2 linked regions of the Arabidopsis thaliana genome follow. The protein of the gene in region 1 interacts with the protein of each later gene in a pairwise test. Each region holds a gene or a part of one and is shown on either strand. Other genes may lie near its edges. The genes, in order: PGPS2 and UMAMIT30.

Region 1 (3,931 bases):
GGAGATACAACATTTCGCTCAGCGAGTCTAGCAAAAAGCTAAAGAGAGAAGAAGCGCAAGTTCAAACCAAAAAAGAGGAAGCAGAAATGTACAGGGGAAAGGGGGAAAAACGCGAAACCTCTTGTGCTCAAAGGCGACGAGAGGATTAGAAGGCTTAGAAGCAGCAGCAGCAGCAGCGGCGGCGGCGGCAACGCTCCTCATTCGTTAGCGTGAAAAAGAGATCTAACCGGTGAAGAGTTGGTGAGAGGACGAAGAAGAAGATCCAAATCTCTACGCTAGTTCATCATTACCCGAATGAAGTTGAAGCAGGAGGAGGAAGTTGCAGTAGAGAGAGAGAGGAAGTGGAGAAATCACATGGAAAGGGCGAGATTGTCGACCAAGGTTTATTACATGTGTGACTCTCTCTCTCTCTCTCTCTCTCTCTCTCTCTCTCTATTTTGACTGCGTTTCGATTCCTTGACACTGAGTCCAAAAGGTCTCTTTCATCTTTCTCTCATTTTTGTATATCTTTTTTACTCCTATCTTTTTAACTACTTACTGATTTTGTATGTAAATGTGAATTTCACAGTTGTCTTCCAATATTTTGCTATGTCAATTTTATCTTCAGATAATTTGATTGAGTTAATTATCTTATTTGTAAGACCAAAATGACAATTTGATGAAAGAAAAATCATATCCTTATATCTAATTTTTGTGTGGTTGTGCGAGTCTATATCAACCTACTTTGAAAGATAGACAAAGTTGTTATTAGATATGGGATTAAGGACATCTACGTCATGTATCATCCTTATAAGATTCAGTTTAAAGTACGAACGTTATTAATTTGATGTATGTGTAACAAGCGTGAACGTATGGTTTACCATACCGTATTCAATTTGTAGCGCGACCATGGTTGGTCTTTAATTATTAACCTCAAATAGTCGAACTTCAAAAAAAAACTAAACACATTTACCAAAATCTTTGATTGATGAGATTCATTTTTAACCCTAAAAAGATAGATATGCAAGAAAATAATTGTGGGGATTGTAATGGTTGTCGATTTGTCGGTAAAGGACCAATTGCTTTAGGAGTTGGTAAAGGACTTTTCTAGGGAATTAAATATGTCTTTAATTTTTTTTTATTTTTTTTTAATAAGTTTTTCTTAGATTCGCTAAATCCATAATCTAAGTATTCACCATATTAAATTTAATCAAGTGGGAAATTTCTATCATATATTAATTAGAATTCTTATTTTAGTTACTAATTGTTTGACTCTAATAGAACTTTCATATATGTAGTTAATAGTCTCACTCTTTTTTCCTTTCAATCACACTTGGCAAACTTAAGAGAGGTTTACATAATTGTGTTAAGAGTTTTAGGTGCAAAATCAATAGAAGATGAAACAAATATGAAAATCCAGATTTGAGAAATTATGAAGAATATCCACCAATGGCTAGTTGAATATATACACAGTTATAACTTTAGTCAATTCAATGGTTTAAATATTATAATCTACTATTTCGTGTACTGTATATTTATTTACCTATATACGTACGTGTATAATTTGGAGTTTTGTTTAGGGGCTAGTAAGGAGCTTAAATTCTTGTTTCTATAATACTCTCACGTTCTCAAACACTTGTTTACAAAACCAAATATTCGTCGGTTTGGGTAAACCAACACAAATGATTATATGGTTGTTCATTATCACAATGATTATCTTCCAAATGTGCACCAAGTTTTTGTTAGTGTTTTAGATTCAATCATGGAAGTATGGAACCACAAACGTACGTAAGAGGAAGAGTGCAGCACATAATAGAAAAGAGCAATGGCCAAAGAAGGCATTACAACGAAATGAGACTTGGGATTTGACACACATCAACTCATGCAAAAGGTTGTAGGTAGCGAATGGGTGTTGAAGATTAACTATCAAAGTGATGACTCCATCGAACAATATAAGTTGAGATTAGTAGCTATATGATATATTTTTTTTGGTGGGAAGTAGCTATATGATATTGATTCATGCAAACATACAACGAAGATATTAGTTTTACATTTTTAACAAATATATAAAATCAAAATCAGCTAAGAATTAAAGAGAAGGCCCAAAACGTGCCATTTGCTTCATTATCAATCGTCCATATCAATCCAAAGTCGACGATTATCGGCGCACGTTACGCACCCGGCTCGCTTATTTTCATAGTTAGCGCACGTTAGCATCTCTCCCAAGCTGCATTATTATTGGCCGTTGTGTGACTCCCATAAAGGCTTAGGGTTCCGGATTCAGGTCGGTGTCGCCACCGCCCTTCTTCGTGCTTCTCTTCCTTCTTTGTCGGATCGTCAGGTTTACAGATCAGCTCTTGTGGAGGATATGGGTGAAGAAGACACCGCGACGGTGGATCAGAACAGTTTCGGTGGTGGCAAAGATTCATTGCTTCGTAATCGTCATTCGTCGCCATTGCCTTCACCGACACAGCTTTCTTCTAAAGTGATTACATTGCCTACCGTATTAACCCTTGGCCGTGTAGCTGCCGTTCCGATTCTCGTCGCCAGTAAGTTTACTTTTTTCGACTCTGAATTCTGGTTGGAGTCATTGTACTTGTTCGGTGTGTGATAGGAGTCTAATCATCAGATCTAAACGAAGATGCAATTGCGATTTTTCCAGATCAGAGTTTTGTTGGTTTGAATTCGAGAAATTCGACAACTTTTTTGAAATTGAGCTTATTGCTATGTGTACTTCACTTGTTACCACTCTTCAAATTTAATCTGAATTGGATCTTTTGATGTTCAATTCCTGATTTTGATTGTTTTATCTCCCATTGCATTATCTTCATCATCTCCTTTGGTTTTTGAAATGTAGCCTTTTACGTTGATTGCTGGTGGGGAAGAACTGCTACGACAAGTATTTTCATTGCAGCAGCCATTACAGATTGGCTTGATGGATATATTGCACGGAAGGTAACTTCTTTCTTTACCCTTTCATGTTCTTCTGCATAGTTGAAATTGTAAGCTTTTAACAGTGAGACGTGCCTTTTCAGATGAGATTGGGTTCTGAATTTGGTGCATTTTTGGATCCAGTGGCAGATAAGGTCAGATACCTTCTTCCTTAGCTACCTCTATCCTCTTTATCTTTTCTCCACCAGAAAGGAATGATTTTTATCATTCTGATTTATGTCATTGGTATGCGCTTATGGTAGCAGCTACATTGATATTGTTGTGCACTAAACCAATGGTCGCCGTTGTCTTAGGACCAGTTCCATGGTTAGTGACAGTACCTTCAATCGCCATCATTGGTAGAGAGGTAAGATACAGAATTCTGATATACCGTTAAGTAAGTTTCACTTATCAGCTTTCTGTTCTAAACTAGTCGGTATACTTTTCACTGTAGATTACTATGTCTGCAGTAAGAGAATGGGCTGCATCTCAAAACGGCAAGCTTTCAGAGGTAAAGTTATCACCATCATGTGCGTTCTCTTGGATCTGTTTTCGTAAGTGTTCCTTTCCTAATCCATGGAAATGGCATTGATGTTGCTAGGCTGTTGCTGTAAATAGCTTGGGAAAGTGGAAAACTGCAACGCAGATGATAGCGCTAACCATACTTCTTGCAAGCCGGGATAGCAGTTTTGAGAGACTATTACCGTCGGGTATTGGGTTGCTCTATGTATCTGCAGGGCTCTCTATATGGTCTTTAGTTGTTTATATGAGGAAGATATGGAGAGTACTGCTAAAGAAGTAGCAACAAAAAACTCTTTTTTCGGGCTTTTTGCATTCAGTATATACACATAGAATGGAAGATTTACCTCTCTTCTTCTTGAAGAAAGCTGACTAATTTCTCTCTGGATACAAATGAAATTAGTTGGGCAAGCACTATAAGACTCTTATATGATGCTTTAGTTCTGTTTTCAACTTTGGGCACTGGGGTCGTACTCTACTTGGTTTGGTTTTGTATAATATC
Region 2 (3,931 bases), on another chromosome or scaffold:
TTCCTCTTCCTTTTCTTCTTCCACCGTATTGGTAGGCAACTTCATGATCTTACACTCTACTATTTGCTTACTCCTACTCCATAGAAATATATATAAACCGATCACAACCACCACAGATCCAATAACGCTACAACAATAATAAAAGTTTAGTCCATAACATGCACATGATATAATATATTCAAGAGGTTTATATAGTTAAAATATAAAGTTAATACAGTTAGATTTTTAATAATATACCTTCCCAAATAAATCTCACGATGAAGAATCAAGAAATCGAACACGGTTGCAGACATAAGCACGACAGGACTAAATGATGAGGAAACGACAGGTCCTTGTTGTTTGATACACCACGACATGCCCACCGTACACATACCTTGTGCAACCACTCCCTATAAACATATATTAACAATAGATCAATATCTGATTATTGTGTGGATCCAAATTATTTATATGTCTGACGAAACATTGTCTTATATACCGCTATAACGACGGTGATGATGGTAAGCTCATCTCTAAGGATCCAATCTTCCAAATGTCTAGTCTTAATTAAACTAAGAAGGGCGCATTGAAGCGTACCAAAGACCGACAAAATAACGGTACTCGAGTATGGACAAGGGTATTTCACGTTGATCTTGGCTTGTATAAGCATCCAAGAACTGAAAAGAACAACTCCGGTCAATAAAAAGAAACAACCTTTGATCCAATTCTCATGTCCTGTGTGGTTATTTGAATTTGCTGCTTGTTCTGGAGAGTTTGTTAATGGAATCCCTTGATACATAGTAAGAAGTAAACCTCCTACTAAGCTTATCAAAGTTCCAAGAACGACACCGTATCCTATTTTTGTTTTCAAACTTAGCTTTTCGAACCTGCAAATTTTATTTTTTCAAAATAAAAAGGTGTAAGATTACACTTGAGATGATAGCGTATATGGCACTTTTCTTTATTTTAACAATAATTGTACCCAAATATTAAAGCCATAACGAAAGTGAGGGAAGGCATTATGGCCCAGAAAGCAGATCCCAGCGTTGCAGACGTGTAGGACAGTCCAAGCAAGTAGAAATATTGCATCAAGCTCGCCCTGAAAAAGAAAGATTTATGATAAACGATTATATTTCATTTTATCAAAAACAAAAAAAAATAACATCTTACATAAACATACAAAAAAAGCAATAAAGAGGGAGAGAATAGAAAAACATAAGGATTTAGTGGATTAAAACCGAAACTTACCCAAAAAGGGCACTGACGAAAAGCTGACATGAGATGCTTAGAGTTAGCTTTGGTCTTGTTTTCCTGAACAAATCATGAAATCGAATATTTATTTTGTTAGGCACACACAATTCTGATTCTATATCCGTACATAGAAAAACATTCATGAAACTCTCTAGTATATACTCTTTATTGTTTTCAAGTTAATATTCTTTTATCTTATGAAATAAAATAAATTAAATAAAGTAATTAGCCAGAAAAAAAAAGATAGAGATGAAGCATCAAACGTGATATTTGTGTCTTCTTGTATTTTCACAACATAGTAACCAAAATTCAATTTTTTTAAAAACACTGCCACAAACTTTTAAATATTTTATTATTTTATTAAGGCATAACGAAATGTATAAAAATCTGAAAGCTACGAAAATAAAAATCAAAGAAGAAGTAGTAAACGTACCGTTCCCAAAAATAAGCGACTGGAAGAAGGAAAAGAGTAGATATACCCAAACGATAAGTAGCAATAACCATATGATTGATGCCTCCATCAAGAACTTTCTTAACTAAAGCATTAACCATTCCCGCAATCATGTTAGAAACAATTAAGACTATCATTGGTGCCCACTTTCCATCGATAAAACCCATGATTAGTATAAGTTAATTACTTAATAACCAAAATGATATCTCTTTCTTTCTCTCTCAGTCTCGCTCTCTCTCTTAGCTTTTACTCTATCCTTCTCTCTCTGTCTCTTCTTCAGAAACTTGTTTGAGTAGTGAAATATTAAGACTAGAGGTGGATATATTTATAAATAACATGGATGTTGAGTTGGAGCCCATTTCTTTCTAAAACAACAAAAAACAATGAAAATATTTAAAGAACGAGTAGGTATTGAATTCTTTTTTAACTATGAAACAAATTATAGAACTACTAAGTAAAGTTCTTTAACAGAAAAAAAAAAAAAACTATTAAGTAAAGTTATATGAAACATTTGTTTTTTGAAATTGTAGGTATAGAATATACTGTTTTTCTCGGTGGAAGGGATTAGTAATATATATATATATATATATATTTATATGTAACTGTGATGATGTATATACCACATATGAATGATGTTTCTATATGTATTAAGTTATTAACTATATATTTGTTATAAACTATGCGGGGGCATGCTAATAGTATATATTTCTAAAGATATTAACTATTAGGTAAATGATATACGGGTATGTCAAACTACAAAAAAAAAAATACAACTAAATACTAGGAAATATAAAACTAACACCACTACTCAGTAAAGTTTAGTGGTGTCAAAAAATTATAATTAATTTCTCAATATGTTAGATTTATTTAAGTCACGACTAAATAATGGTAATTAAAGACATAAAATTAAATTAATAATATGAAAATTAGTTTTTTCTTTTCTTATACAACTAAATCTCATACAAATACTCTTCTAAATTTAAAACAGTACTATAAGTTTATAACACAACAGCTTCACTAATAAGCTACCCACCCCGGTCCATAACTGAGTTTGTCGTCAACTTTTCTTATTATATTTATCGACTATATATGTAGCACTAATCGAATTAAAAATTGTTGTTTTGCTCACGTTGTTAATTACGAGTTCAGTGTAATCATTTTAACAAAAATTAAAGAAATGGATAAAACCCAATCATTTCATCAAATGAAAGCAAAGTTGCCTTTGTACCGAACAATTGAATTAATATTTCCCCCAAAAAGAAGCAAAATTATAATTTAAAACATACTTTCACTATCTCTATAAACTTATAAGGTATACGACACATTGTAAATTGACAAGTACACCAAATTCTTTTCTGTTTAAGATTTATTAATATGTAAGCTTACTGATGATAAGATAATTAGATTTCCTTTTTCGTAAATACCAGATTTTATAAGCCCAATTGGAGCCAAACAGCAAAAAATTAAAATTAAAATATGTTCGTAATGTCATAATAAACTATAAAAAATACAGTTTTTTTTAGAAAAGTTTTATCAACCAAACTCCGATGGTTTCAGATGACCTCCTTATTTTTTTTTTTTTTTGGTTCCATACTTCCAGATTAACCACATAATAAAAAAATAAAAAATAAACTTTACTACTACTTGCATCAAAACAAATTACCCAACTTTATATTGAAAGACATTCAAATAACACATGAATAATGTTTCTTCCACTGGTCACATAGTTGATTTTTTTTTTGAATATAAGAACTGTAAATATCATTTCAAAAAATGAAAGTTTAGGATTTAATTGGTCCGAGAAATTTTTGTAAAAAACATGAAAGCATAGACATTCGAGGATTAAATCATCAACGAAAACCATAAGCGGTGAAGCTTATGGCAAGGCTACATTTGAAGTTTTTTTGTTATCACACATCCTGAAGCTAATTGACAATAAACTTGTTGCCACCTGCCAAATAAAATGTTTTAATTTTGCAAGAAAAAAGATTTTCCCAATTATACTTTTAAAAGCATTAAAGTTTTGTCTCCAACTATAATATTCAGAAGGTAAAACTCACGTAATAGAGCAAACCATTAATATGATTTAACAGTAAATTTCCCAAATCCAGTGAAATGCCATGTACTGTATAGTTATCATGTCTATATAAGTGTAAGCTAAATACCCCACCCACGAGTAAAATGTGTATCTGTCATATCCAAAACCTATTCACTCCCACCAAAATATATCATAGATCGCACAACTGAAAA

Evidence for each region.
Region 2: the proteins of PGPS2 (region 1) and UMAMIT30 interact in a protein complementation assay, tested with the Arabidopsis thaliana proteins (one large-scale study listed by BioGRID).

What each region holds. Positions count from the first base shown.
Region 1 is NC_003074.8:20,394,513-20,398,443, forward strand, and holds the start of PGPS2 (phosphatidylglycerolphosphate synthase 2), read left to right. Parts: upstream 1-2,084; 5' UTR 2,085-2,347; coding exon 2,348-2,528; intron 2,529-2,836; coding exon 2,837-2,934; intron 2,935-3,014; coding exon 3,015-3,065; intron 3,066-3,163; coding exon 3,164-3,277; intron 3,278-3,364; coding exon 3,365-3,421; intron 3,422-3,511; coding exon 3,512-3,712; 3' UTR 3,713-3,931. Other genes in the region: AT3G55020 (Ypt/Rab-GAP domain of gyp1p superfamily protein), read right to left, coding at 119-201. UniProt on the Arabidopsis thaliana protein: Catalyzes the committed step to the synthesis of the acidic phospholipids, including phosphatidylglycerol (PG). Together with PGPS1, required for the proper embryo development by providing PG accurate levels.
Region 2 is NC_003075.7:606,503-610,433, reverse strand, and holds the start of UMAMIT30 (nodulin MtN21 /EamA-like transporter family protein), read right to left. Parts: upstream 2,162-3,931; 5' UTR 1,849-2,161; coding exon 1,664-1,848; intron 1,291-1,663; coding exon 1,228-1,290; intron 1,079-1,227; coding exon 962-1,078; intron 867-961; coding exon 479-866; coding exon of another isoform or gene 443-478; exon of another isoform or gene 390-442; coding exon 238-389; intron 128-237; coding exon 1-127.